Macaca fascicularis: one gene and its partners. The protein of the gene in region 3 purifies or fractionates together with the protein of the main gene of each other region. This does not show direct contact. Links are inferred from orthologs where the notes say so. Each region holds a gene or a part of one and is shown on either strand. Other genes may lie near its edges. The genes, in order: IGSF8, PTGFRN, CD9 and ITGB1.

Evidence for each region.
Region 1: the proteins of CD9 (region 3) and IGSF8 purify together in Homo sapiens (affinity purification with mass spectrometry; 5 studies listed by BioGRID and IntAct, counting the BioPlex papers as one, with this or other methods). This does not show direct contact. The link is inferred for Macaca fascicularis from reciprocal best matches to the Homo sapiens genes CD9 and IGSF8.
Region 2: the proteins of CD9 (region 3) and PTGFRN purify together in Homo sapiens (co-immunoprecipitation; 8 studies listed by BioGRID and IntAct, with this or other methods). This does not show direct contact. The link is inferred for Macaca fascicularis from reciprocal best matches to the Homo sapiens genes CD9 and PTGFRN.
Region 4: the proteins of CD9 (region 3) and ITGB1 purify together in Homo sapiens (co-immunoprecipitation; 5 studies listed by BioGRID and IntAct, with this or other methods). This does not show direct contact. The link is inferred for Macaca fascicularis from reciprocal best matches to the Homo sapiens genes CD9 and ITGB1.

What each region holds. Positions count from the first base shown.
Region 1 is NC_088375.1:100,957,367-100,964,967, reverse strand, and holds the start of IGSF8 (immunoglobulin superfamily member 8), read right to left. Parts: upstream 4,686-7,601; 5' UTR 4,538-4,685; coding exon 4,471-4,537; intron 1,320-4,470; coding exon 942-1,319; intron 516-941; exon of another isoform or gene 252-515; coding exon 1-251. UniProt on the Homo sapiens protein: Member of the immunoglobulin superfamily (IgSF) that links tetraspanin-enriched microdomains to the actin cytoskeleton and plays several important roles in innate and adaptive immunity.
Region 2 is NC_088375.1:117,486,207-117,493,797, forward strand, and holds the start of PTGFRN (prostaglandin F2 receptor negative regulator), read right to left. Parts: upstream 4,969-7,591; 5' UTR 4,672-4,968; coding exon 4,623-4,671; intron 4,292-4,622; exon of another isoform or gene 4,129-4,291; intron 1-4,128. UniProt on the Homo sapiens protein: Inhibits the binding of prostaglandin F2-alpha (PGF2-alpha) to its specific FP receptor, by decreasing the receptor number rather than the affinity constant. Functional coupling with the prostaglandin F2-alpha receptor seems to occur.
Region 3 is NC_088385.1:7,134,679-7,141,607, reverse strand, and holds the end of CD9 (CD9 antigen), read right to left. Parts: intron 5,203-6,929; coding exon 5,104-5,202; intron 4,955-5,103; coding exon 4,865-4,954; intron 3,914-4,864; coding exon 3,830-3,913; intron 1,735-3,829; coding exon 1,669-1,734; 3' UTR 1,239-1,668; downstream 1-1,238. UniProt on the Homo sapiens protein: Integral membrane protein associated with integrins, which regulates different processes, such as sperm-egg fusion, platelet activation and aggregation, and cell adhesion.
Region 4 is NC_088383.1:33,658,471-33,665,399, forward strand, and holds part of ITGB1 (integrin beta-1), read right to left. Parts: intron 5,768-6,929; coding exon 5,529-5,767; intron 5,312-5,528; coding exon 5,089-5,311; intron 4,106-5,088; coding exon 3,873-4,105; exon of another isoform or gene 3,605-3,872; intron 2,181-3,604; coding exon 2,014-2,180; intron 787-2,013; coding exon 712-786; 3' UTR 706-711; intron 1-705.

The DNA of each region.
Region 1 (7,601 bases), on a different chromosome or scaffold from region 3:
TCCGGCCTCCACGGCCAAGTCTGACCGGATTCCCACCACTTCCTGCAGAGTTGCTCGCCCAACTGGTGCCTCAGGCACAGATCGCCCAAAGGACACAGCCAGGTGTGTGTGCTGCTGTGTGCTTGTCCTCGCCAGGCAGCCCAGTGCCAGCTCCTGCCCCTCATGCACCATCAGGCGTGGGGGTGAGGTTGGGGCCTGGCGGCCTCGGGGCCCTGGGGGGGCAGCAGACACCTGGAGGGCATCTGGAAGAACTGGAGAGAACAGCTGGAGTGAGGGAGGGCTGGGAGCTGGCAGCCCTTGTTACTGTTTCCTGTGTACAGCCTATCTCCCTAAATAGACTGTGAGCTCTCAGAGGGCAAAGATTGCATGTTGTATTATTTCCTCCGTAACTCAGTGGTGCCAAGTGCAGTACTGGGCACAGCACAGGCACTCAATAAATACTTGTTGAATTTCATAGAACCAGCCCATGTTGGTTCTATGTTCGAGACTGACCCCTCTTTGAAATACTGAGAAAAGTGGTTCTGTCTTCCTTCTCAGAACACAAAGAAACTTAGTGAGAATGTCACACGGTCTCACTCCTTCCCTAACTCTACTCTCTTTGCCAGATCTGGGTCCTGTACTGTCCAGGAGTAGAGTCTATTCAACCCAATAGTCTTCCTCGTTCTTGGGAATGGAAAGGGGAATGGACAACTTAAGGACCCTTCTTCTCCCAGGAGGGGTCTTGATATGATAAGACAAGCACTGGCCTGGGTGAGGCAATCTGGGTTTGAGTCCCATATCAGTCACTGAGTTATTGGGCGACTTTGTGCAAGTCACTTAACCTCTTTGGGCCTCAAGTTCCTTGGCTACAAAACCTAAGGGGCAGTTAGATAGGTCACTTGTGGCTTTGACTTTCTGCCTTGAGAGGGTGTGTGGCCCCACCCCATCCCAGGGCCCAGTACCTCTCAGCTCCACCTTGCCGCTGTAGCTGCCCAGGTAGCGGGTATCAGTGGAGGGGGTGTGGCACTCATAAATGCCAGCATCCTGGGCCTGCAGGCGGGCAATCTTGAGCACCACAGCATCACCTTGTAGGCGCTGCACCTGCACCTCACCCGCCACCACTCGGGACTTGAAGATAGCATAGGAGAACTGGGTATCCTTGGTACTGACAATGCCCAGTGCAGTATCTGGGGCCTCAGGCCTATACAGGAACCACTCGAAGTTCTGCTGGGCAGGTCCCTCGTAGCCGGTCACGTTGCAGGAGATGGAGACAGCTGTTCCAGTCACGCGGTACAAGGGCCCCTCAGGGACCAGCACCTCCCGGGCCCAGCATCCCATTCCTGTAGGGAAAGGCAGAAGAAGTTGGAGATGCCTGGTTCCCCATTCCATGCCCTCTGCCACCACAAGCACCATTCTTGATCTCTGCCTACAAAAGGAAAGGACACCTGGGGAAGATGGTCCACAGCTTGGACCCTGTTCTGAGAATAGGAAAGGGATGCTGTGATATAAGACACCTGGATCTCAAGAAGGTGGCACGGGCCCAGGATTGCCTTGGCACCTAGATGCATCCCATTTCTGGTGGACTAGAAGCAGAGCGCCTAGTACATCTGATTCCTGACCTAACCAGGCTTTGGTTCCAGCTAAACCTTGATCTGTCCCTGCCACTCACCCACCTCCATGTCTGCCATTCCTTCCTCAGTGCCTGGCCAGGGGAGCCTTCTGGCTGGGGGATGCTGAGACTACATGTCCCTCCCCTTTGCTTGAGGGGAGCTGGCAGTCTTGCTCAGAAGTGCTAGTTGGCTCAGCTGTGTCACCTGGACCAGACAATGGAGCCAGTGACCCTAGCTGGAAAGGGCACAGGCCCAGTCAGTTCTCACCACACAATGCCCTCCCCCCTCCAGCTGCGCCATGAGCTCACTGCTTCTCTCACCCCACAGGGCTGCCCAGGCAGCTGGGGCTTCTGGGGCAAGGTCCAGGCTCTGCTCTCGCCACTGGGGCAGAAGATCCCCTCCTCCAGTGCCTGCCAACCTTCCTGGCTAGCCCAGCAGACACACAAGGCGCCTGCCCCAGTTCCTTAACAAAGCCTTCATTTGCATATGGTATGCATTCATTTACATATATGGCTTTCTTTCTGTAGGGAGGCATTAAATCCCAAGCTGCCCCTTCTCATCTCTCTCCCTTCAGAAAGGTCAAACCTCTCTTCTTCACCCTACTCCACCCCTATGCCCAACTCTACCCCAGCAGATACTCCTGGCAGACTTAGAGGGCTTAGCTCCTCCCTTCTCTCCTTCCATAGCTCCCACTAGATAAAATCGCAGAACCTCAGAATGTAAAGAGGGCTAGGCTACCCCTCCCCCCCTCCCCATTTTACAGATAAGAAAGGTAAGGCAGGAAAAGTATAATATCTTAGCCAAGATCATGCTGTCCCTAGATGGCTTCCACACCCTCCTCCAGAGGGGCAAAACCAGGGAGGAAAATGGGGAAACTCCAAGGCCAGGCCTGAAGGGACTGACCTCACCAACCAGAGTGTCACTTTTAGGCCTCCCAGGGGGATACCATGGACTTTCTGCAGAAGCTAGAGGAAAATGCCCAGGAGTCTGTGGTCAAACTCTACCCTCCAGCTTCTCTAGAATGGCTCCTCTGAACTTCCCCACCCCTGCTGCTGGGCTCCTAGCCCCTTCCTTTATCCTCTGGCTGAGTCACAGGGAGAACTCATGGTCTGTTGTTGTTAAGGGCACAGGCTGTCAATCAGGAAGTGAGATTCCAGCACCATCCCCATGCCCAGCTGTGTGGCATGGGATCCAGTCTCTTTCTGTCCTAGGCCTCGGTTTCCACACTGGAGGAGAACTAAGAGCTCCAGCTCTGACCATGCATGAGTGCGCATGTGACTCAGGAGAGCCCTGCCCCAGGCCAGGCAAGTTTCATAATCAGGGTGATGGTGGAGACGGCCAAGCTGACACCTTCCCTGACTGCCTCGGGGCAGACTGCTCAGAAGGCCCCCTCCCATCTTCCTGGCTCCACAACTGCTGATGCTTGGAGATCCCCATGGGAAAGTTACCTCCACAGCCTTAGGAAATCAGTTGCCACACAGCTCTCTCTCACCTCCTCTGTATTAGTTGCAGCGAGGAAAGGGAGAGCAAAGAGGCCTGCTTTGGAATCAGATCTGTGTTCAAATCCTAGCCCTAATACTCACTAAATGTGCTCTCTGGGGCAAGTTACTTCAATTTCCTCACTTGTGAAATGAATGTAAGTGCCCACAGGCAGTGGGTGCTCAGACGTCTGCGTGCTCCTTTTTCAACCACAGGCCAGCACTTCCCCACCTCCCTGGGCTCCTCCCTGCTCCATGCTGCCCACTGGGGAAAACACAGCAAGTGCTAGGCAACCCAGGTCCCACAGAGCCTTCCTCTCTGTACATCCTCCTGCCACCTGCCCAGGGACCAAGGAGAGGACTCATCCTAGCCCTGCAGGGCCCAGGGACCTGCAGCAGGGGAAGGCTTTGCTTGGTGCCACTGTGGAGCCCTGGTCTAGAAACAGGCAGCTGGGGCTACCTTCAGCCTCTGCCTTGACAACAGCAGCTCTGAAGTCACCATCCCCACCTCCACGCTTCACTCTCATTTCAAGGGCTTCAGCCTCATCAACATCTGTACTGGCAGTTTCACTTCTCCACGCCATACTCTTCCCCAGACCACCTCCTACAGGCAGCCTTCCAGTTCAGGCCAAAAACAATTCCACTGTCATTACCCCCAGGCATCCATGCAAGATTAGCCCAGAACAACCCACCATGAACACCCACCACAGCAGGCACAAGGTGCTTTGAGATCCCAGGATCAGTCTCCATGGAACCTGGTTTCTCCTGAGGCAAGGAAGCTGGAACTAAGCGGGTGTGAAAACTGATGGGTGGCTGCAGAACCAAGTGCCATTTGGGAGAGAGGAAGAAGGGCAAAGAGGGACCCAACCTGGGGTGGAGATGGGGGTGAGAGAGAGAACTGCCCCCAGTTGATGAAGTGTGTGGAGCGCAATTGGGAGAGACTTACTTCAAAGATCGTGGGCAGAACTGGCCTCTGGGCCTCCAGCCAACTCTAGGGCAATTTTGAAGCTGGGCAGGCACTGCCCACGCAGGGCGGGCACCCAAGGCCAGGCCTGGAGCTGAGTGTGGGGCAGAAAGGAGTCGCAGCATTTGGTGCAGCGACCCCAGGACGTGGGTATGCTAGCTGAGAAGTGGGGCCTGCCCCAGGAGGCCAAGCAGTGCCTGGGGCAGCACTTTAGTGGGTCCTCCCTGTGCCCCACTCCCTGACTTAGAGCTGGGGAGCCTGCACTCTTCCCAAGACTGGCTCGGCGGGCAGCCACAAAGCGCAGCTGGCCGCCGACCCCGGGGAGGCTGGAGGTACCCCTGACGGAGGAGGATGTGAGGAGCCCCGAAATGCTCGGGAGGTGCTGGGTGGCAGGCACCTGCCCGGCGGGGCCGGGAACCGGAACGGGGGCCTGACTTACCTAGCATTAGCAGCAGCAGCAGCAGCGGCGGCGACGGCGGCAGCAGCGTGGGCCTGAGGGCGCCCATCCTGCGCGGCCAGCTCTGGGGAGGCTCCGGGGGATGGCGCGGGTTCTGGGGGGCCGGTGGGGTGAGGGGCGCATGCCCAGGTGGGGGGCAGGAAGCTGGGCAGCGAGGCGTGGGTGCGCCGAGCGAGCTGAGCTGGAGCTGCCGAATCCCCTCCCTCCGCCCCTCCCGTTGCTTTCCCTCCAGCCCTCGGCAGTTCTGAGACCATTCTAGCCCCAGCCCGCCCCGGCACCGCCCCTTCCTCCGCCCCGTCTAAGCCCGCCCCGCCCCGGACCCAGCCCTGGCCCGGCCCGCCCCACCCCGCCAGACTCAGTTCTTTGCTCCGCACTTGGCCCCGGCCCCGCCCTGACCCTCGAAACTCACCTTTGCTTGGCACCGAGTCCCAGCCCCGCCCCGGTCCCGCCCCTCCCCGCCCCTCCCCGCCCCTCCCCGCCCCTCCCCGCCCCTCCCCGCCCCGTCCCGTCCCGTCCCGCAAGACTCCAGCCCTGGCTCCGCCCCGGGTCTCGGCCCAGCCCCAGTTCCGGCCCCTCCCTGGCCCAGCCCCAGTTCCGGCCCCTCCCTCGCCCCGCCCCACCAGGACTACAGTAGGACTACAATCTTGGCTCCGCCCCGGGACCCGGCCCCGCCCCAGTCCCAAGCCCCACCCCTTCCCAGTCCCCCCAGGGCTAACGTCAGCCTCCAAACCTGACTCCGCCATGGACCCCGGCCTCGCCCCGCCCCTGGCCCTGGCTCCGCCCGAGGCCCCGGCAAGAGTGAGCTAATTGCACCTCGGCGCATCGAAATTCCCACCCACCCTCGTACAGAGCGCACCCCACCCCGCACCTGCCAGCCTTTCCTGGAGAATTGGGTGCAGGGGCCCTGGGATTGGCTGTGGCCACGCATTTAGAATTCAGTTATTTTCTCTGAGCCATAGTCCTCGCTGCAAACCCTGTTGAAGTAGGGGTTGGCAGAACCCAGGAGTTCCTAAAGGCGAAGGGTTTGAGCTGAAGGGCGCTTCCAGGATCCACAAGGTCACTGGAGACCTGTTTTTCACCCCCTCAGAGGGCAAAACCAAAAGAAAAATGGATTGGGAGAGGCGGCCGTCCATGTGACGTCATTTCTGGGTTGGGTGATCCTAGCCCAGTTGTTTAACCTCCTTCAACTTCAGTTTTCTCCTCTGCAAATTGAATTGAGGTTATCACACCACCCAAAGGGGATGATAGGTAATGTACATAAAGTGTTTGGCACAGGAAACTAACACGAAATGGGAGATAACGAAGGATTATTTTGTTTTAGTTTTTGAATTATTATTTGAACTGCTTCCTAAGAGGCTTAATTTAGACCTAGTTTAGACCTGGCGTTTAGGTGAAGGAGTGTCTATGTTCAGTGACAGTGGGAAGAGATGAACATTGTTCTGGGAAGAGTGGGGCTTGCCCTGGAGGTGGGAGAATGGAGGAGGCACCCTTCCCAGGTGTTCTGTCTCTTCCTGAACTGTAAAGATGGGGAGTGGGGACGGGCAGGAAGGATGAGACCAAAATGGGGAGAAGAGATGGCCAGGTTTGCAAAGCCAAGGCTGTCAGAGTGGCCGTCAGTGGGAGGTGATCCCAGAGCCCATTTACCACCCTCTACCCTCCAACACCCTCCCTCTCCCCTCTTCCCTCCCACTCACTCACCCCCCCTTTACAGAAGAGGAAACTGAGGCCCAGAGAGGGTAAGTGGCACAGGCCAGACCAGACCTTCCTTGACATTGTATTCCTCAAGCGTGGCAGAGTGCCTGACTCTGAGAAGACGCTCATGGGGTTGCCAGTAGAAGCCACATTGAGGAACCCTGGAGAAGCCAGAGAAACTGAGGCCAAATGTTTGGGGCCTTGAAGGGAGATCAGAGGTCCAGCCCTCACCTCCCAGGACTGCCAGCACTGGCCCATGAACAGGGTAGTAGGGTGCCTTTTATTCCCGCTTTGAAATATCCACAGCCTGGTTGCTCCGGAGCCTCATCATCTAAATCCATCCACAGGCATACTGAGCTATGTGAAAACTGAACTCATAGGGAAGCTTTTGGAAGAACACGTCTTTCCCTTTATAATGGATTTAATCATCGAGTGGATTGAATGACTTCATGATGCTTGAGGGATGAAAGACGTTACCAATTGTAATAATGACATGTCATTTATGAAATGCTTACACAAGAAGGCCCTTTTGGATATTAGTCCTAGTCCTTATAGCATATTTTGCAAGGCAGTGTCATTTAACAGAAGAGAAACTTGAGGTTAGACAGGTGAAGTATCTTGCCCAAGGCCACACAGTTTTTAAGTGGCTAAGGGGTGACTTGAGCCCAGGTTTGTCTATCCCCAAAGCCCCAAATCTTCCTACACCTCACTGTCCCTCCTCCCAAGCCTCTCCACCCTGTAAACTCAGTCATTCAACAAATATTGATTGGGCCAGGCCTGGTACTGGGTACTGGAGATGCCGTGGTAAACAAGGCAGGCCTGCTCCCCTGCCCTCAGGGAACATAGTTCTATATGTTAGGGATACATTTCATAAACAAGTCATAACCAACCCCCGGTATAAGCATGATGAGAGAAGTCTTCAGGGAGGTGAGATATCCTCTCTTACCCCGCGGCCTGGGACGGGGAAGGAGCTGGGGCAGGCTGGCGTTGAGAGCTGGGTTGGTGTCTCCCTCCAAAGGGGATAAGGCCCAAGGAGAGAGCAGTGTCTTCAGCAGGCCCCTCCCCAGACTCCGGGTTCCAGCGGCGGCCAGCAGGGGGAGCCCACAGCCCAGACCTGACGGACCCCTCAGCTGCTTATGTAACTGGGAAAGCTGGGGGAGGAGAACAAACCCCAGGCACGAGGCACGTCACACACACGGACACATGTCCCCACTGTAATGGAGCGGGGATCATACAGAAAGACGGCTCCCAGAAACACACCCCCACAGAGCCATGCGCAAACACATACAAGCTGCAAAAACAAGGATGCATGGTGTAGATTGGAGAGCACTCATCTCATCCATTAAAAACACACACAGGCCTCCCAGCACCTAGGCTGGTGCCCTAGGGTGGGGTGAGCAGAGAAAGGAGGAAGGAAGCCC
Region 2 (7,591 bases), on a different chromosome or scaffold from region 3:
GACAGGAGTGGCTGTGCCTGGGCAGGAGGGTGGACACATTTTTTTCCTTTTTTTTTTTTTTTTTTTTTGAGACAGGGTCTCACTTTGTTGGGCAAGCTGGAGTGCAGTGGTGCGATCACGGTCCCCTACAGCCTTGACCCCCCAGACTCAAGTGATCCTCCCCATTCAGCCTCCCAAGTAGCTGGAACCACAGGCACATGCCACCATACCCAGCTAACTTTTCTTATTTTTTAGTAGAGATGGGGGTCTCACTATGTTGCACAGGCTGGTCTCAATCTCCCGATCTCAAGCAGTCCTCCCGCCTTGGCCTCCCAAGTTGCTGGGATTGCAGGCATGAGCTGACATGATTAGCCCAGATTTTTCTTTTGACCTTGTATCCTCTATAAGTAACACAGAGACTGCTAGCTGTTCCCTCAAAATCTGTCCTTCCCTTCTTCCATAGTAGCTGGCACATGGCTTCCCAGTTTTCCTTACAGCTAGTGTGGCACGGGCCCAAAGTCTCTCCAATAGAACGTGTGCAGAAATGACGTGTGCCACTTTCAAGTCTGACCCACAAAGCCTCCATATATTCTACTCCACACTCTTTTCCTCCTTTGTAGGGGCTGGAATGGTGAAGATGACTACCAAAGTGATCTTAGAAACTGTGAGTTGAAGACAGCGGAACTGCCACCAGCTGGGGAGCCAGAATGACTGTGGAAAGCAGGGTTCCCACCCAACCCTTCCCTCTGAAGCATCTCCCTCACATTGTTATATAAGACACATCTATTGTCTGAACCACTATGCTTCGAGTTTGTTAGAGCAGTTTAGCCTACCTGATTAATACAAAGTCCTTTTATATTATTTGAATTCTAAAATACTGATGTGATGCTTTTGACACTTAAAAAAGTATCTCAATAGATTTACCAAAATAAAGACAAAAATGAAGAAAATGTGTTAATCCCACCCTACAATCTCTGTGCCTTCCACTCTCCAATTTATGTTGCACTAGTTGAGGGTTTATCCTCCTCAACACATCACCCTGTCCTCCTAATCTCGCCCTACAAACTTTTAATGGCTACCCATTCCCACAGATAAAACGACATATATGTTTATAAGTATTCAGTCAGCCAATATGTAACAAACACCCAGTATGGGTTATATATCCTATCAGTAATAGGGACATTGTAGTGAACAAAACCAATGTGGCCCCTGCCCCCAGGGGAAACAATTGGAGTAGGGAACAGACAATTACATACAATGAAGTAAATATATGCTCTGATGACAGGGCACAGACTGCCTGGCAGCACCCAGAGCGCCAAGAAATCTACCCCTCCCAGTCCAGACTCCTCAGCACAGCACGCAAAACCTACAGGATCTATCTCAAACCCACCTTTCCTCCCCCATTATTTCCTCCTCCCCCAAATAATTGCACCCCCATTTCCTCCTCCTCCCAGTTACATAGAACTTACGTGCCATTTCTGAATGAGCCATGTACTTTCACTCATCCACACTTTAGGCTTTTCCCCAGAGCCTAGAATGCTCTTCTATCCTTTCTTTCAAAATTCTAATTATCCTCAAGGCTCAGCTCAAATGTCACCTCTTCAGCAAAACCAGCCCCAACCCCCAAGTCAAAATTAATCATCCCCTTCCTTGTTTCCCACACTTGGTTTCCACGTCAGGTATTTCATTCAGGCCTGTGGTTAGCTATTTTATTCTCTGTCCACTCACACCCACCAGCCGCTCAGGCAGATGCTGTGTCTTGGTCATTTGTCTGGGACTCCCAGTATTGAACACACAGTTGCACACAGAGTGGCACTCTCTCTGTGAATGTGGCACATTTCTTGAGTGGCCACTCAAGAAATGCCACACTGAGTGGACGGGCAAGACAGATCAGACACAGGCAATGGATGTGAAACCTGCCCTATGTGGCTGGGTGGGTTCTGGTGGGATCATGGTAGGTGGGTTTAGAAAGGCTTCATGGAGAAAGTGAGTTTTAGGGGAAAAAGGAAATACTAATACACAGGCAAGAGGTGAGAAGTAGAAGGGGCCGGAAAGTTTAATATAGTCTACATAAAGGAGAGCAAACAGGTTAGATAGAACAAAGTGTGTGAGCCAGAGAAGACTGGAGGGGAGGACACTAGGGGCAACATCTCCTTGGAGGAAAGTCATAAGGACCCAGTGAGAACAGGTGGGAGCCCCAAAAATGATCATTTAGGAAAAGGATGAGCTTAAAAGGGAGGCTGGAGGAAATAACCAACCACGAAGACACCAATTGTGTGGGAAACAATTGGGACCTGGGCTAAGACAGTAGCCGTAGAAACAGGAAGGAAAGGAAGAAGCTGGAGTCTGTGCTATGGGGAGACGCAAGAATTGAGAGACTATGTGAATGTGGAGGTCAAAAAGAGCAGTGATACCAAGATTATACTCAGGTTACTCCCTAGGAGGAAAGATGATCTTGCTTATCAATGTATTACATTTCAGGGATCAGTACAGTGCTAGAGTAGTGTAACACAGGGAGACCTTCCCAGAGGTCAGGCTGAAGTCACGCCAAGTGAGATTCTGTGGCAGCAGAGTTATCAGGAGGGTCATCAATGGTTCAGAGAACTGTCAGGTAAAAAGGCACCGGCTAGTGACACCACAGAAATTCCCAGTGTAATTCATAGGAGGCATCCAGCCAGGACAGGATATGCTGGAGTACAATCAAGATTTCCCCAAGCTGTGCTTTCCCCACTTCTATTTTGCTTTTGTCAGTCTCTCTTTGCCCCCTTCCCTCTTCCCCCCTCATTATGATTACTCAAGGGCATTGTTTTCAAAGTTTTCAAAGTTCTACCTCATCCCACCCTCATAACTGGTACCCAGGTTGTTCAAAGAACTGCACAACTCTAGGGGGAGTCATTCACACAGACTACAAAGTGAACAGCAGCTCCCGAAGTTGCACAGTGCACAATCTGTGCAAACCCAGGCCACGGCCCTGCTTGACCTAGACACACACAGTCAATAAAAATTGTGTGTGGACTATAACAGCAGTGCACCACTAACATACAACTTACAAGGGTCCCGCAGTGAAAAGTAAAGATTAAAAGCACTACCACCGGGTGTGGTGGAGCATGCCTGTAATCCCAGCACTTCAGGAGGCTCAGGTGGGAGAGTCAATTGAGCCCAGGAGTTTGAGGCTTCAGTGAGCTATGGTTGTGCTACTGAACTCCAGACTGGGTGACAGAGTGAGGCTTTGTTTCAAAAATAAAAACAAAGCACTAGGATCAGGGACTATAGAAAAGATGCCATAAAACTAAGTGGAAGATCTGGAAGCTTTCTGCACATGGGCTGAAGCTGAAGCAATGTGGCTGGACGAGCTCTCTGAGGGAGTCAGTTCAGAAAATCTCTTCAAGGTGAAGGAAGAAAACACAGAAGCTAGCAAGGCTGGTTTACCAGCAGCAGGAGTCACGGGGCTTAGAGCAGTGTGGGCCCCCGGTGTCCCCAGTAGGGGAGTGGCTATAGAAGGCCTTCTCTGGGACCCTCCGACCATAAGTGCAGAGTAGTCATTTGCGCTGTGTGCAGCTGGGACCTGGATGGGACGGACACCGCACACCATGCGCTCTGTAAAAGACTCAGATCTGCCTTCTCTAGGGGCTTGGAAGAGAACCCCAGGCCGGGTCATAAGAATCATCTTGTCCTGGTTGACACTGACCACAAGGATCCAAGAATATCAAAGCATTTAAGAGTCGGCCCTGGGGTACCATGGTGGGCACTTAATAAACATATTTCCGTGGCTGGCTAGGATCACCATGTGGATCTACGTGAAGATGGTGTCTGTGTATGGAGTGAATGGAAAATGGAGAGGGAAAAAACCCACAAAAGATTCCTTGGGTGGGGGGAGGGCGCTGGGCCAAAACCTCACGGGGCACCGAGGGTTTCCGGAGGGTGGAAGATGAGGGGACAGTAAGGGAGGAAAAGTAACAGGTAGAAAAAGTTGGAGAAGCCAGGCTCTTAGGTCTTTGTGTATAAATACGCAGCTAGGCAGCTTCAAGAAAAGCTAAAAGAAAAGACTGAGGCAGACAATCTAGCCACGACGAAAATGACGGCAGGACTCGCCCGCCGATTTCCATTGTAACGCTCCGGGCCACCCTGTGACCTTCGTGGAAGGAAGTTGGAGGATTCTCTCGCTTCCCTGGAAAGGCAACTCCGCGCGGGCTGGGCGAAGAGAGACCCGGCCGGCGGCGGCTATGGCGGGGCATATCAAAGGCTCACATTTCCGCTCTCGAGCGGGGGACCCGGGCCGGGACCGCAGCACCTTCCGGGCCGGGAGTTCAAGGTGAGCCGGGCTCCCGGCGGCCAACAGGTAGGGAGGGCTGGGGAAAGCCGGCCCGGGCCACTCCCCCCGGCACATGTTGGGGGCGAGGCTCGGCCTGGCGGAGCCGCCACTTGCACCCTGCGCGCGGGGCCCGGGCTGATTCGCGCCAGGCTCCGGGCGGCCCCGCGGCCGCTCCCCGCCGGGCCAAGCAGCCCGCGCACCCCGGCCGGGTTTCCCGGGAGCAGCCCGGGCACCCTCAGTGACCCAGGCCGCGCGCTGCAGCCGCGCCCCGCCGAGCCCTCCAGGGCCCTGCCAGACCCCCTGCGCCCAGCTGAGCCCCGCGCACACTCACCCAGCGACAGGAGCGCCAGCAGCAGCGGCCTCGGCGCCAGGCGCCCCATGCTCGCCCGGCGGGAGCGACTCTCCCCCTCCTCCTCCTTCCCCGCCGCCTCTCCTCCTCCTCCTCCTCCAGCTCCGGCTGCTCCAGAGTCGGCGCTCCTCCGCCTGGGCCGCGCGCCTGCTCCGCTCTCCTCGCGAGCCGATAAATCCCAGCGCTGGGGCGTACGTGCGCCCCTGGCTCCGCTCGCTCCCTCCCGCCTCCTTCCCTCCCTCCTCCAGCCGGCCGGGCCCGGGAGCCGGCCCCGCCGATCCGAGTGTGCAGCCCCGACCGCTTCCCGAAAGCAGAAGGGAAGAACCGCAGCGCCCGCCCGCCCGCGCCTCCCATCCGGCGCTTTGCCAGCAACAAACACAAACTTTCCCAAGCCCCTCCCCGCTCCAGGTAACGGAGGAAGCGCAGGGGCCACCCGCTTAAAGGCGAGGAGGCGTCGGAGCCCACCCTGCCTTCCCCTCTAGGCCCCCACCCCACGAGAAACTTTCCTCCGACCTTTAAAAGTTGGCCTGGGAAAGACTCGTCTGGAAATCCCTTCGCTTTAGCCCTATCCCGGGACACCCCGCGTTCCATCACGCTGGAGTCACCCACGCGTGTCTAGTCTATCCTCAATCAACTGCCCGCTCGTTCGGCCTCTCGTCCTGAGCTAAACACCCCAGCAACCAGCCGCTTGGCCTATGCCAAAAATTACGCAGATGGGAGCGAAGGAGCTGAAAGGACTTTTGAAGGCCACGGATTCCAACGTCTACCATACAGAGGCCTTAAGTGTTTCGGTGAGGTGCCCAAGGATTCACAGGGAAGGGGCAAAATCAGAACCCCGCTGTCCTGACTGCCCACTCCCCGGTGATTTGGGTGGGCCTGCCTCCTCCTTACCCAGCACCCTCCCTCTCCTCAGCGCCTGTGGCACTGATTAGAACAGCTCCACACAAAGACACCCATTTAAAAAACAAACGAAACCCAAGTGTATTAATAGCTATAGTACTTCATATAGAATGTACTGTTAAGACTTCATATTTCTTGCTCTAAGTGGACACCACTGGTTGCCAATAAAGACTCATACTTCCCCCCACAATAGAGTTTTGTGCTTTTGATTTGAATACAAAAGGCCCCACGGGTATTGGGAGAAAGGGAGCATTCCTTGCTTGAAACTTAGCAAGCATGATTCAGACACGCAAGGAGCAGGACTGGTGCCCACTGCCCCTCACTGGGCTTTCATTCACATGTGGAAAACGGATCACAGATGCTTATGCGGAAACTGCCCACACTCACACAGGGGAAGAACACTACTTTTACTCTCATGCATCCGTGTTTCAACCAACAAATGTTTCTTATTTCCACTATCAAATGTGTGATTAGCCAGGTATGAACCCTTTGGAAAGAGTCTTAAAAATTCATTCCTGGTGGTGCAACGTTATTGTACTTAATGGCACTGAATGGTACATTTAGAAATGTTTAAAATTGCTAGGCATGGTAACTGGTACCTGTAATGCTAGCTACTCAGAAGACTGAAGTTGGGGGCGGGGGCGGGGGTAGAGGGAGGCCGGGAGCGGGGGCAAGGATGGTGTTGCTTGAAACCAGGAGTTTTTATTTGTTTTGTCTTTTTTCTTATTTCATTTTTGAGACAGTATCTCGATCTGTCACCCAGGCTGAAGTGCAGTGCTGCGATCAGGAATCACTGCCGCCTTGACATCCCAGGCTCAAGCAATCCTCCCACCTCCACCTCTCAATAGCTGGGACCACATATGTGTGCCACCACACTCTAGCTAATTGTTTCTATTTTTTTGTAGACACTGGAGTCTCCCTATGTTGGCCAGGCGGGTCTTGAACTCCTGGGCTCAAGCGATTTTCCTGCCTCAGCCTCCCAAAGGACTAGGATTACAGGTCTGAGCCACTGGGCCAAAACGTTTTCTTGTTTTTCTTTTTTCTTTGTTTTTGAGGCTAGAAGTTTGAGACCACTTGGGCAACATTGTGAGACACTGTCTCTAAAAAAAAAGTTGTAATTTTTAAATGGTAAATTTTGTGTTATGTACATTTTATACAATAATTTTTTTAAAATTTTTTTCTGCCACCAAGCCTTTCCTGGTTCTGTTCATACACAGTGTAATTCCTTTATCTTTCCCATCCCAATTCTTCCCTAGAATTTTTCAGGGAAGTTTTCCAATTTCATTCAATCAACCTTGAATGCAAGCCTAATGTTAGGCCTTGGAAGATAGTGGAGCTTCAGAGAAATGTGAGGCCTGGCACCTTCAGCAGCTCAGATTTCAGCTCATCCTTCATCTTTCCTTTTCTTAACCCCCTAGAAAACTTAATGTCTGAACCATACATTGTGGCACTTGGTCACATTCATTTTAGCGAAACATATACACTGCCCCCATCTCTGTCTAATAATGCATGGGCCTAAGAAGCTGTCACATTTTCACCTTGTATCCCACCTTATGGCAGAGTAGATGTTTTAAAAACTCTTTTGTTTAATAAACAATGCGTGACAGGGACTGTGCCTAGCACATGGTAGGTCCTAATGTATATTTATAGAGTGAATTAATGGCACACACTGGGCTAAATCCTGGGGGTACAGGGATGAAGCAGACAGTTCCTGCCCTTGAGGAGCCTACAGTTTGTGCATTGTGATAGCATGTGCAAGGTAGAGTCGTGACACCACAAGGGAGCGGCCAGTCCAGGAGGAGGCTGTCATGACTATGCATTGAGTCTTGAAAAATTGGTAGGTCTTTAGCTGTGGAGTGTAGGGATAAGCTTACAATACATGTTGTGTATTTAGTGTGATAGAGATCCTTCTTGCCTCACCCACGCCCGGGTGTTATTAAATTAATGGTGCACCTTACAATCATGGGAATAACAGTGGTTAACCGTTGAAATGATGAGAATAAATAAAATTGTCTAGGTAAGGCAGGTAGAATGAGAACTGAAGTGGGTAG
Region 3 (6,929 bases):
TTAAGGAGGAACCCAAATGGAATTAAGGAATGGAAAATAAAAATTGGTTTCTTATGCCTCTGCACTTCACCTTTCTCCTGTTCATCCCACTCTGCCATTATTGCCTGCTTGCCTCCGAATGGCCCACGACAGTGCAGTCTGAGCACGGACCACACCTCCCATGCAGCGGTGGCTTTGTGATCTGTCCACCTGGGTAAGCTGAACCACACTTCCCAGAATTCTCTTCCTGTGTGTTTCCGGTTAAGAGTAGAGCACAGAGGAGAAACTTGTGGAAGGTTTGGAGGTGGGAAGTGAAGCAGCGGTCATTTCACAGCTCATACGAATTGTGACTTCTCTGCTGGCTCACCTCAGCAGAGGCAGGTACTAACACAGGGCCGGGTGCGGTGGCTCACACCTGTAATCCCAGCACTTTGAGAGGCCAAGGCGGGTGGATAGCTTGAGACCAGCAGTTCAAGACTAGGCTGGGCAACATGGCAAAACCCTTCTCTACAAAAAATACAAACATTAACCGGGTGTGATGGCTCATGCCTGTAGTCCCAGCTACTTGGGAGGCTACAGGGAGCTGAGATTGGGCCATGACATTCCAGCCTGGGCAACAGAGCGAGACCCTGTCTCAAAAAAAAAAAAGAACTGACACAGACGGATGTGTCTGCCTTCAAGGGCTCCCGCTCGGGCCTGTCCTCCCTTACGTTACGTCCGTCTGTCCTTCCCAGTTGTCTGCAGAGCCTGCTTAAGCAGCCCCAGTGCCAGTGACTGTGTTAAGGTCAAATTCCCACAACAAATCTCTTCAAACAAGTACCTCTTAGTGGTTCTGCTTCTCTGATGAAACCCTGATGGGTACACACTCATTTATTCATTCAACCAACAAATATTCACTGATAAAAAAATACTGAGCACTACTATGCACCAGAAACTGGGGGCTAGGCAGTGAATAAAACAAAGTTCTGCCACCATGGTGTGACGTGTACTGTCATGTCCCCAAGATATACGTGTCACACTGCTGAATGAGCGTCTGGGCACCAGCTGCTGGTGCTGACTCCTCTGTTAACACCGGTGTGACTCTGGATCAGAATCCCTTAATCTTTCCACATCTAGATGTCTTCATTAGTAAACAAACTGGGGTGAGCAATTTCCCAAACTACTTCTCATATAAATGCAGGTAGAGGTAATAGCAGTTGAAAGACATTTGCAAACCAAATAGCTCTCAAAATAATTAAAGGAAACCAAAACCAGTCCAGGACATTGTCATAATTTTTTATTATGTATCAAATTGTCGTCAATATAAGTTACAACTTGATTAAAGTCGATAGACATTTGTATCTATTTAAAGACAAAAAAATTCTTTATGTACAATATCTTGTCTAGAGTCTAGCAAATATAGTACCTTTCATTGCAGGATTTCTGCTTAATATAACAAGCAAAAACAAACAACTGAAAAAATATAAACCAAAGCAAACCAAACCCCCCGCTCAACTACAAATGTCAATATTGAATGAAGCATTAAAAGACAAACATAAAATAACTTTAGCTTTTATCTAGAAGTGCAGAATGAATACTAAAATTAGTGGCAAAAAAAAAACAAAATCAAAAACAAAAACCAAACAACCAACAAACAAATCCCAACAATCTTCATGGGTAAACTTTCCTGCTCAGGGATGTAAGCTGACTCTAGACCATCTCGCGGTTCCTGCGGATAGCACAGCACAGGATCATACTGAAGATCATGCCAAATATCTGGGAGATAGGAAGAAACATGAGGATCAGGGTGGTTTGATGTGAAGGCAGGCTGAGGGAAAGGGAGAGACACGGGTCACCCAGTCCAAGACAAATGACAAGGAGAATGGCATCCAGGAGGCCAAACGAGTCAGAAGGTACCGAAGCAGGAGAGATGCAGGCCAGATAACGAGAAGGACGCGGGACGTGAGGAATCTGGGGGGTTGGCAGTCAGGTGCACAAGCAGCTTCCTTGGGAACTTTCAGGGTGGGACAAGGAAGCTCAGAGCCAAATTAAATGCTCAAATTCCAGGTTTTCCTACAGTTCATACAGGTTAGTACTTTTGCGCTTGTCTTTGTGTGTATTTAATATTCCTTTTTTTTTTTTTGAGACGGAGTCTTGTTCTGTTGCTTAGGCTAGAATGCAGTGATGCGATCTGCCTGCCTCGGCCTCCCAAAGTGTTAATATTTTATTTTATTATTATTATTATTATTTTATTTATTTATTTTTTTGAGATGGAGTCTCGCTCTGTCGCCCAGGCTGGAGTGCAGTGGTGCAATCTCCACTCACTGCAAGCTCCGCCTCCCGGGTTCACGCCATTCTCCTGCCTCAGCCTCCCGTGTAGCTGGGACTGCAGGCGCCCACCACCGCGCCCGGCTAATTTTTGTATTTTTAGTAGAGACGGGGTTTCACCGTGTTATCCAGGATGGTCTCGATCTCCTGACCTCGTGATCCGCCCGTCTCGGCCTCCCAAAGTGCTGGGATTACAGGCGTGAGCCACTGCGCCTGGCCTTATTTTTATTTTTTATTTTTGAGACGGAGTCTCGCTTTGTCCCCCAGGCTGGAGTGCAGTGGCGCGATCTCGGCTCACTGCAAGCTCGCCCTCCCGGGTTTACGCCATTCTCCTGCCTCAGCCTACCGAGTAGCTGGGACTACAGGTGCCTGCCATCACGCCCAGCTAATTTTTTGTATTTTTAGTAGAGACAGGGTTTCACCATGTTAGCCAGGATGGTCTCAATCTCCTGACCTTGTGATCTGCCCGCCTGGGCCTCCCAAAGTGCTGGGATTACAGGCATGAGCCACCGCGTCCGGCCTAATATTCTATTTTAAAAGGTATTGTGATATCTTGGCTGGGTACAGTGGCTCACGCCTGTAATCCCAGCACTTTGGGAGGCCAAGGTGGGCAGATTACCTGAAATCAGGAGGTCAAGACCAGCCTGACCAACATGGTGAAACCCCATCTTTACTAAAAATAATTAGCTGGGTGTGGTCGCACAGGTCTGTAGTCCCAGGTGCTCAGGAGGCTGAGGCTGGGGCTGGAGAATTGCTTGAACCTGGGAGGTGGAGGTTGCAGTGAGTCGAGATCGCACCATTGCATTCCAGCCGGGGTGACAAGAGTGAAACTTCGTCTCAAAAAAAGAAAAAAAGAAAAGAAAGAAAAGAAAGAAAAAAGTATTATTGTATCTTTTGCTGCAAGGTACTTCATGCCTTTCTTAGACGCCGGAGAAAGGAGGCGATTCTCTCTTTGGGGGCAGTCTGGCAAGGGGGCAGAAGCGGGCGGGGGTGGGGGAAGACTCAGGGAGCCAAGGCCATCCCAGCGAGGACCATGTTCCGTCTGGGGCTTTCCCTCACGGGGAGAGAGGACATGACCCCAAGGAACCTGGTTGGCCGTTGTTGGTTTCTAGGGGCTGATTAGCAGGAGACCTCCTTCTGGCTGCCCATTTTCAGAGGCTCTTCAGGAAATAATTCCCATGCCGGTAGCCTCTAGTGAACTCCTTTCTTAGGGAGAAGAACAGCAGGTGCATGAGGAGACATGCTCTGAGGACTAGCAGCGCCAGCACTGCTGCCCATGTGCCCTGAACCTTAATGGCTAAGAGAGTCGACTCTGAAGAAACCCAGGGGAAACCTCAGATACTCCACTCAGGAGGTGAGAGGCTTTGATCAGAACGGCGGCCTCTCTGTCTCTCCATTCCCTAGTGGTAAAATGGAAATACTAAGGGCACGAGGACAAAGTGAGCTGACAAATGCACAGACTGCGGCAGTATCTGGGCAGAGCATGGGCTGAATCAGTGTGAATTCCTCAGTCCCCCTCCTGGGACGACGTCCCGCCACTCACCATGACCACGGCAATGCCGATGCCCACTGCGCCGATGATGTGGAATTTATTGTCGAAGACCTCTTTGATGGCATCAGGACAGGACTTGGGGAGACAAACCAAGACCTGGGTCACACACAATCCTTGCTCCCGGGGCACCTCCTTCCTCCCATGGCACCCGTCTCACCCGGGAGAACTGGTGGGCAGAGGGTGGGCTGGGGACAGGGGTGTTCAGGGATAAGAGAAGTTCTGGCTGGTGGATGGAAAGGGGAGCAAAGGGATGGCTATGCTAATGGATGCTAAACATTTGGGCAGGACATCAGGGAAGGAGGAGGGAGGGACAGGCCCTGCTTGGGGGCCTATTTCTGATACGGTTGTAAGGTCACTTTTTACTACTCTGGAGCTGGACATTAACTCCAGCTTACAGACAGGAGGCACTGACAAAGTCAGAGCGGGAGTCCAAGACTCAGAAGCACGCCTGCCCTCGACAGCTTCCAGGCTGGCAGCAGTGGGCGGTGCCAGAGCACTTGTCGTTCCCCTGGTCTGGCCTTTGTTTTATTTTATTTTTTATTTTTTATATATTTTTTTTGAGACGGAGTCTCGCTCTGTAGCCCAGGCTGGAGTGCAGTGGCCGGATCTCAGCTCACTGCAAGCTCCGCCTCCTGGGTTCACGCCATTCTCCGGCCTCAGCCTCCCGAGTAGCTGGGACTATAGGCGCCCGCCACCTCGCCCAGCTAGTTTTTGTATTTCTTAGTAGAGACGGGGTTTCACCGTGTTAGCCAGGATGGTCTCGATCTCCTGACCTCGTGATCCGCCCATCTCGGCCTCCCAAAGTGCTGGGATTACAGGCTTGAGCCACCGCGCCCGGCCTTTTGTTTTATTGCCCTTCAGTAAACAGAGGGCCCAAAGTAGGGGAGAAAGAGATGGGTGCCCTGGGACCCTTTCACAGGCAGACCGGGTCTTTCTGAAGCAGCACTTGGCTGCTGTCACTTTTATGCTTGCAGGGTTTGCCCACAGTAATGGTGCAGGGGCACCAGGATCTTGCTCTGAGTTTACCTTTATGGTCAAGGTTTCGAGGACATCCTTCTTGGGGCAGATGTCTGAGATAAACTGTTCCACGCCCCCAGCCAAACCACAGCAGTCCAACTACAGCGAGAAGGCAGGGATGGGGATGAGAGAAACACATTTTAAAAAGATGATTAGAATGTTTGCGCTGGTCTGGTACAGTCAGCACCGCTGTGTGCAGACACGGTCCGGAGTGAGCGCAGGAGGGTGTCTCTGCCAAGGCCACATACCGCATAGTGGATGGCTTTCAGCGTTTCCCGCTGGGGCTCATCCTTGGTTTTCAGCTTGTTGTAGGTGTCCTTGTAAAACTCCTGAACTTCCTTAATCACCTACGATGGGCAGACAAGAGAGGGGCAGAGGCGGCATTTTCACACCTTTCTCCACGAACAAATGTTACGTGTTCCATCTTGTTCTCTCTCTTTAAGCTCTCAGCCACGTGCTTGGACATCACTGGGCAGATGGCAGCTGCTAGCACTGCCTTCTCTCGGGGCCTTTGGGCACTTCCCATCTCCTCCCACGTCCTCCAGAAACCCGCTCTGGCTGTTTCTCCCTGTGTCTTATACTTTGGTCAGTTCTTCAGCTCTGCTTTGCTCCTCAATTGAATCTCTATGCTCTAAAGGATAATAATATTTTAAAAACTACTACTCCTGACTTGACTATTTCCTCAGGCTTCCATCTTCTTTTTCTCTTCACTTAGGTATGAGTTTTGGCAAATTACTAAACCTCTCTGTACGGAGTTTCCACATTTGTCTCTATAGCTCATAAGTTATTGTGAGAATTTAAATGAGATATTGCACGTTAAGCCCTTTGCCACTATGTCCAGTACAGAGTAAATCTGGAGGACGTGTCAGCTATTGTATTATAATATAGGGGATATATTATTATGTGCCTGCATCTGGTACATCCCAATTTGATGCGTATCTGTCCCTTTGATGCTCACCCACATCCAGTTAACAGACCAACAGCCAGCATTTTTCCTTCAGCATCTTTCTGACATTTTTCACAATGATCCCTTCCTATTTCTATGGCTGTAGCTGTTATTGCTTGGATACTTTTATTTTTTTTGAGACGGAGTCTCGCTCTGTTGCCCAGGCTGGAGTGCAGTAGCCGGATCTCAGCTCACTGCAAGCTCCACCTCCCGGGTCTACGCCATTCTCCTGCCTCAGCCTCCTGAGTAGCTGGGACTACAGGTGCCCGCCACCTCACCCGGCTAGTTTTTTGTATTTTTTTAGTAGAGACGGGGTTTCACCGTGTTCGCCAGGATGGTCTCGATCTCCTGACTTCGTGATCCGCCCGTCTCGGCCTCCCAAAGTGCTGGGATTACAGGCTTGAGCCACCGCGCCTGGCCTACTTTTATTTTTTAATAAAAATATTAAAAAGTATTAAATGCTTTTTTAATAAAAATATTTTTAAATAAAAATATTAAAAAATATTAATAAAAATATTAGACCCTTGGCTGGTCTAAAAGTAGTGAGTTATCTCAATGGATTGCTCACGTCAGTTACAGATGGAAGTCCTTGTTCTATTTTTCCCTGCTTCCCACTACCGTACTTGACTAGTCTCAAGAACAAAACAAAACAATAGGGTTCCTGCCTCCAGCATCTCTCTTCCTTCCCCCTTCCTGCTGAACATGACAAGGTAGCCCTTCCAAAAACACTACTCTGATATGGCCCATCCTGGTCCAAAAGTCTGCAGGGCTCCCCACGTAAGCCCAAGCCCAGCCATGCTCAACCTCTTTGACTGGAAGTCCCCTGCCTCCACTAACTTTCCTCCTGAACACATCTCTCATTCAAGGTTTCACGGCTCCCTTGTCTATGAAGTCAAAAGAGATTCCCTTCCCCACCCCACCTTTTCAAATCCCATAGTACTTTGGATATAAATCACCTCTATGACCCTTGTCGATTTCATGTCTTTTTCCCATACTAGATGGCCAAGTGTCCGGAAGTGGGGCCCATAGTTCAAACATCTGTGGACCTTGCACAGGCTTGGGGGCAGCACTTGGCTCATGGGGGCAGCACTTGAACGTGTTATTTATAGATCAGAGGAGGAGGCAAGG
Region 4 (6,929 bases), on a different chromosome or scaffold from region 3:
CCAAGGCAGGTGGAACACCAGAGGTCAGGACTTCAAGGCCAGCCCAGCCAACATGGTGAAACCCCGTCTCTACTAAAAATAAAAAAATTAGCCTAGCGTGGTGGCAGGCACCTGTAATCCCAGATACTTGGGAGGCTGAGGCAGGAGAATCGCTGGAATCTGGAAAGCAGAGGTTGCAGTGAGCTGTCATCACACCACTGCACTCCAGGTTGGGCGACAGAGCAAGACTCTGTCTCAAAAAAAAAAAAGAAAAGAAAAAGAAAAAGAAAAAAGGATAATATTATTCTAGGCATAGGACTGTTGTGAGGATTAGAGCTGACAGGCTGATTTCATATACTAGAGTGCATTTGCCAAATACAACCACCCCATACAATACAGAGTACTGACTCCCTGTGATAGATGAGAAGTGAAGTGGCTCAATGCTGTTCTGCTTACTAAGTGGAAGAGGTGGGATTTGACCTAATGTCTAACTAATTGCAAAGCACATTCTCTTTTCACTACAACATAGCTGCTGTTCTATATCACATGACTTATTTTACAGTCTTTCTAAGAAAAACGCGAAGTTAACACACAAAAAGAAAAGCCACAATAGCGATATTTAAAGCCAGACTTAAAAAAAGACCAGCAATAGTGATAAGGACACACAGTGCAGTAAAAAAGATAAAAGTTCACATGCAAAGGCAGAAAGTGAAGGAAAATACGAACGGCAATTTAGAGACCAGCTTTACGTCCGTAGTTTGGATTCTTGAAATTATTAATAGGACTCTTGTAAATCGGATTTTCTTGCTAAAGTAAAAGAAATAGTTTCTAATGATTTCATCAGAAAAAAAAAGGACATTTATAGTGTTCAAACACTATAAAGGGAATTTTTTTTCTATTTCTACCCTTCTGCAATTTATAATTTAAAAAACTGGTAATTTTAAAAAACCCAAGGAAATTGTAGTAAAGTGCAACTAACTACAATTCATTTACAATTTAAAAATACTGAAGATTGTCATTGCTTTCTTGTATCAAAAGATGGATACACAAAGGCCAACATTTGGTTACCCCACCCTCTGACTCCTTATTTCAAAGCTCTAAAAATGCTAACATAAACTTTCAGTCCCTTAGGGCTTTTAAGATTTTTATAAGCTAAGGTTTACTGAGATACAATTTTCATAGAGGAACACACATCTTTTTAAAGTACATAGTTCTGTGAGTTTTCAAATACATAAATCTACCCACAATCAAGATCATCCCCAGGAAGATTCCTTACGCCCTGTTGTGGTCAACCCTTTCCTCCGTTCCAGCCCCTAGCAACCACTGATTTTTGCCCCTACAGTTTTGCTTTTCCAGAATATCTTCTAAATGGAATCATATTGTATACAGCAGGGGTGTCCAATCTTTTGGCTTCCCTGGGCCACATTGGAAGAAGAATGATTGTCTTGGGCCACACATAAAATACACTAACGATAGCCGATAAGCTTAAAAAAAAGTCACCAAAAAAAAAAAAAAAAAAAAAACAACTTACAATTTCTAAGAAAGTTTACAAATTTGTGTTGGGGCCACATTCAAAGCTGTTCTGGTCTGCATGTCCTGGCCCACAAGCTGCAAGTTGGACAAACTTGGTATACAACCTTTTGAATCTGGCTTTCATTGAAGGTTGTTTTTTTGTTTCTTTTTTTAAAGAAAGAAACAGCTTTCCATTGAATTGCTTGCTACACAGATAACATTATTTAGGATTCTGCCCCACATTAGATGAAAAGGCAGATTTAGGATCGAAACTATTAAAGAAATAAAAATACTGGCCACAGTAACCAGAATATACATGCTTATAATCAATGTTTTGTTTCAATGGGATATATTTAGGATGCTTTCTGTTTTTCACTAAATGCAAATTCCTTGAGTAACTTTTGGGGGAATAAAACACTTAAAAATGACTTTAATGATCACCCTGACAGTTAATATATAAGTCTTAGGAGTATTACATTTACTTTATGAGCCACTTTGCTTTTTACATGTTTTGTAACTTACTGTGTCCCATTTGGCATTCATTTTCTCCTTTTCAAATTTAGCAAACTCCCTTCTGTCATGAATTATCATTAAAAGCTTCCATATCAGCAGTAATGCAAGGCCAATAAGAACAATTCCAGCAACCACACCAGCTACAATTGGAATGATGTCTGGACCAGTGGGACACTCTGGAAAATAAGAAGGTTATAATAAGTACCACAAAGCTGGGCAGTATCTTATTAAAAAAAAATACAGGAATAAACACCCAAGAGAGTGAATGCACACTATCCCAAAGAATCTATAAAATAGCTTTTAGAACTAACAAGTGAGTTTACAAGCTTGCAGGATACATAATCAATGAACAAAAATCATGTACTTTTCTATATATATAATTTATTTCCACATATTGAAAACAGAAATTTTTAAACAGTAATATTTACTATAGAATGAAAAAGCATGAAAAACTTACATATAAGTCTAACAAAATATATGCAAAATTTGCATGTTAAGAATTACTAAACACTGATAAAAAGAAATCTTTCAGACTGAATAAATGGAGAGATACTCCATGTGCAGGAGTTACAAAACCTAATACTGTTAAGATGTCAATTCTTCCCAGTTTGATCTATAAACTCAATAGTATCCCACTCAAACTCCTGGCAGAACTTCTGTAGCAATCAGCAAGCCAATTTTAAAATTAACGTGGAAGGCAGTGAACTAGGGGAAGTGTCTCAAAAACACTTTTGTAAAATAATAAAGTTGGAAGACTCTTATTACCTGCTTTCAGGGCTAGCTATAAAGAAAGCTACAAGACCACGTGGTATAGCTAACAGATAGACACTCAGATACATGGAACAGAATAGAGTCAGAAACAGGCCTACACATGTAAGGTCACCTGATTTTCAACAAAGGTGGAGAAAGGACAGTCTTTTTTCAACAAATGCCCCTAGAACAAGTGGACACTGATATGAAAAAAACTGAGCCTTCTGTCACACACTAAGAATAACTAAAGATGAGTTACAGATCTAAATGTGAAACCCCAGAAACTATAAAACTTCTAGAAAAAAACACAGGAGAAAAATCCTTAAAATCTTGGGTTAGGCAGAGTTCTGAAAGACAATGTAAAAATAAGAGCCACAAAAGAAAAACTTGGTAAACTGTACTTAATCAAAATTAAAACCTGTGGTGTTCAAAAGACACTTAAAAAAATGAAACGATAAGGAGGCACAGGCTGGGAGACAATATTTGCAAAACACCTAGATGATAATTCAAAACACTACAGGACTCTAAGAACCTGGCAGCTTCTTACAAAGTTAAACATATGCTTACCATATGCTCCAAAATGCCATTTTTACTATTTACCCAAGAGAAATGAAAGCTTATGTTTACACAAAAACATGTACACTAAGGTAGAAAATTCTAAAGAATCTACAAAAAGGCTACCAGGAAAACTAAGATTAAAAAAAAAAAAAGTTTCACCTTCAGAGAAGTTGAACAAAATCAACACTTTATATTAATATCCTTTAACAAATTATCTTTCCTAGTATTCAAACTTAAATCAAGCTCTAATTTTAAAATCATCAATCATAAAAAAAAAACTCTTACTACGCACTTGGTGTCAGGCATCGTTCTAAGTGTCTTATATAAATCACTGCATTTAATCTTCAAACTCTCCACTTAGAAAACTTAAAAGTGGAACTCTGTTTTCCTTATTTCTTATACAGTTAATTAGGTAATATCTTAAGCTTTGAAAGATGAAAAATTTCCCAACTTGACCTAAAATATTCCAGCTGGAGACTGTTTCTGGATGTTAGGCCTAAATAAGCAGAAACAAGACATACAAGATATGAAAAGAATGTTTGCAATCATCGCATTTCTACCTGGATTCTCCACAACATGAACCATGACCTCATTGTTCCCATTCACTGAATATGTAAAATAGAACCAACAGTCGTCAACATCCTTCTCCTTACAATGGGACACAGGATCAGGTTGGACTGGCTGGGGTAATTTGTCCCGACTTTCTACCTTGGTAATGTTAAAATAGGAACATTCCTGTGCGCATGTGTCTTTCTTTTCTCCTTTATTGAAGGCTCTGCACTGAACACATTCTCTGTTAAAAAAAAACCATATTATTATATTTAAATTTTATTATTTCAATAAATATTTGCTTAAACATATTTCCCATGCTAAACTCTTGTGACCAAATTGAACAAACAGCTATGAAGGAGGATCTGAATAAATGAAGAGATGCATTACATTTGTGGATAGAAAAATTATGTAAAAAGATGCTAATTTCCATAATAAAAGATTTATTACAGTTCAAATTAAAACGCTATTAATAAAAGATAGTAAAATAAATTAGCCCTATCACATATTAAATATGTAACATAAAATCATAATAATTTTTTTTTGCCATGGAGTCTTGCTCTGTCGTCCAGGCAGTGCACAACCTTGGCTCACTATAACCTCTGCCTCCCGGGTTCAAGCAATTCTCATGCCTCAGCCTCCCAAGTAGCTGAGATTATAGGCACACACCACCATATCTGGCTAATTTTTGTATTTTTAGTAGAGATGGGGTTTCACCACATTGGCCAGACTGGTCTCAAACTCCTGACCTTAAGTGATCCACCTGCCTCGGCCTTCCAAAGTGCTGGGATTATAGGTGTGAGCCACTGTCCTCGGCCAAAATCATAATATTTAAATAATTTAAATATGTTACTAGTATAATAATCCTTCAAGAGGAAAAATCTTTAATTTGGCTTAGTTTTGTCAAAAGATAGTAATTAAGAAATTGGTAATGACAAACTAAATTAAATCTTAATTGCCAAAATAAAGGTTACCATGTAAATTCAATTATCTACCACATTCAGATCAAAATAATAGTACAACTCTCACATGACACACTTCATACCATGTAATACATACTAGCTGTTGAGAAAAAACTTTTAGGAATTAAAGAGTAGGCTTCCACGTGGCAGGCATTTTATTTATAGTATATTCTAATACTGGCACTGTTCCGGTTCTAGTAACAACACAGGCTTTGGAGAGCCAAGAGGAAGTATCAACTATTTCAAGCAATTAGGAAATACTTACTTATGCTCAGCACAGACACCAAGGCAGGTCTGACACATCTCACATGTTTGCCCTTGGAACTTCGGATCTGTACACTTACAGACACCACATTCGCAGATGCCCCGGCCATTACAGATCTGTCCGTTGCTGGCTTCGCAAGTACTAGTATCCAAAGAACAGTCACATGCACTGCCAGTGTAGTTGGGGTTGCACTCACACACACGACACTTGCAAACACCATTTCCTGCAATTAAGCATATCATTTCTCAAACTAATGGTAAAAATATACAATCACAGTATTGACTGAAAAGTAAAATAAGCAACAACGTGTGAGAAAGTATACCTGGGGCAGAACTGACCCTCGAGCTACCCCTCTTCTACTTATGCACCAAGTAAACTCTAGATTTTTTGTGGCATTAGATGAGATCACGTCTTACAACCACTTCAGGTCCTTTACTTACCTCCACAAATTAAGCCATTGGATCTATCACAGTTGAAATTATCACACTCGCAGAATTTGCCAGAATAAATTTCATTTGTATTATCCCTCTTCCTACAAACACACTGTCCACAAACGCACTCTCCATTGTTACTGCAGATTTCTGAACTGTTTTCTTTTCTGCAGTAAGCGTCCATGTCTTCACTGTTAACTTCATCTGTGCTGCATTCACAATGTCTACCAACACGCCCTTCGTTGCACCTGAAGAAACATTCCAAAATTGCAATCACACAAAACAAAAATAATTTAAGAGGTTCCAAGATGGCCGAATAGGAAGAGCTCCAGTCTACAGCTCCCAGCATGAGCAATGCAGAAGATAGGTGATTTCTGCATTTCCAACTGAGGTACTGGGTTCATCTCATTGGGGCTTGTCGGACAGTGGGTGCAGCCCACAGACTGTGAGTCGAACGAGGGTAGGGCATCGCCTCACCAGGGAAGTGCAAGGGGTTGGGGAATTCCCTTTCCTAGCCAAGGGAAGCTGTGACAGTACCTGGAAAATCAGGACACTCCCACCCTAATACTGTGCTTTTCCAATAATCTTAGCAAATGGCACACCAGGAGATTATATCCCGCGCCTGGCTTGGAGGGTCCCACGCCCACGGAGCCTCACTCACTGCTAGCACAGCAGTGAGATCAAACTGCAAGGCGGCAGTGAGGCTGGGGGAGGGGCGTCCACCATTGCTGAGGCTTGACTAGGCAAAGAAAGTGGCCGGGAAGCTTGAACGTGGCTCAAAGAAGCCTGCCTGCCTCTGTATACTCCACCTCTGGAGGCAGGGCAGAGCTGAACAAAAGGGAGCAGAAACTTCTGCAAACTTAAACGTCCCTGTCTGACAGCTTTGAAGAGAATAGTGGTTCTCCCAGCATGGAGCTTGAGATCTGAGAACGGACAGACTGCCAGCTCAAGTGGGTCCCTGATCCCCAAGTAGCCTAACTGGGAGACATCTCCCAGTAGGGACCGACTGACACCTCATACAGCCAGGTGCCCCTCTGAGATGAAGCTTCCAGAGGAAGGATCAGGCAGCAACATTTTCCGTTCTGCAATATTTGCTGTTCTGCAGCCTCCACAGGTGACACCCAGGCAAACAGGATCTGGAGTGGACTTCCCGCAAACTCTAACAGACCTGCAGCTGAGGGTCCTGACTGTTAGAAGGAAAACTAACAAAGAAGGAAAACTAACAAACAGAGAGGACATCCACACCAAAACCTCATTTGTATGTCACCATCATCTGCAGCTGAGGGTCCCGACTGTTAGAAGGAAAACTAACAAACAAAAAGGACAACCACACCACAACCCCATTTGTACGTCACCATCATCAAAGACACCCACAGTAGATAAAACCACAAAGATGGGGAGAAACCAGAG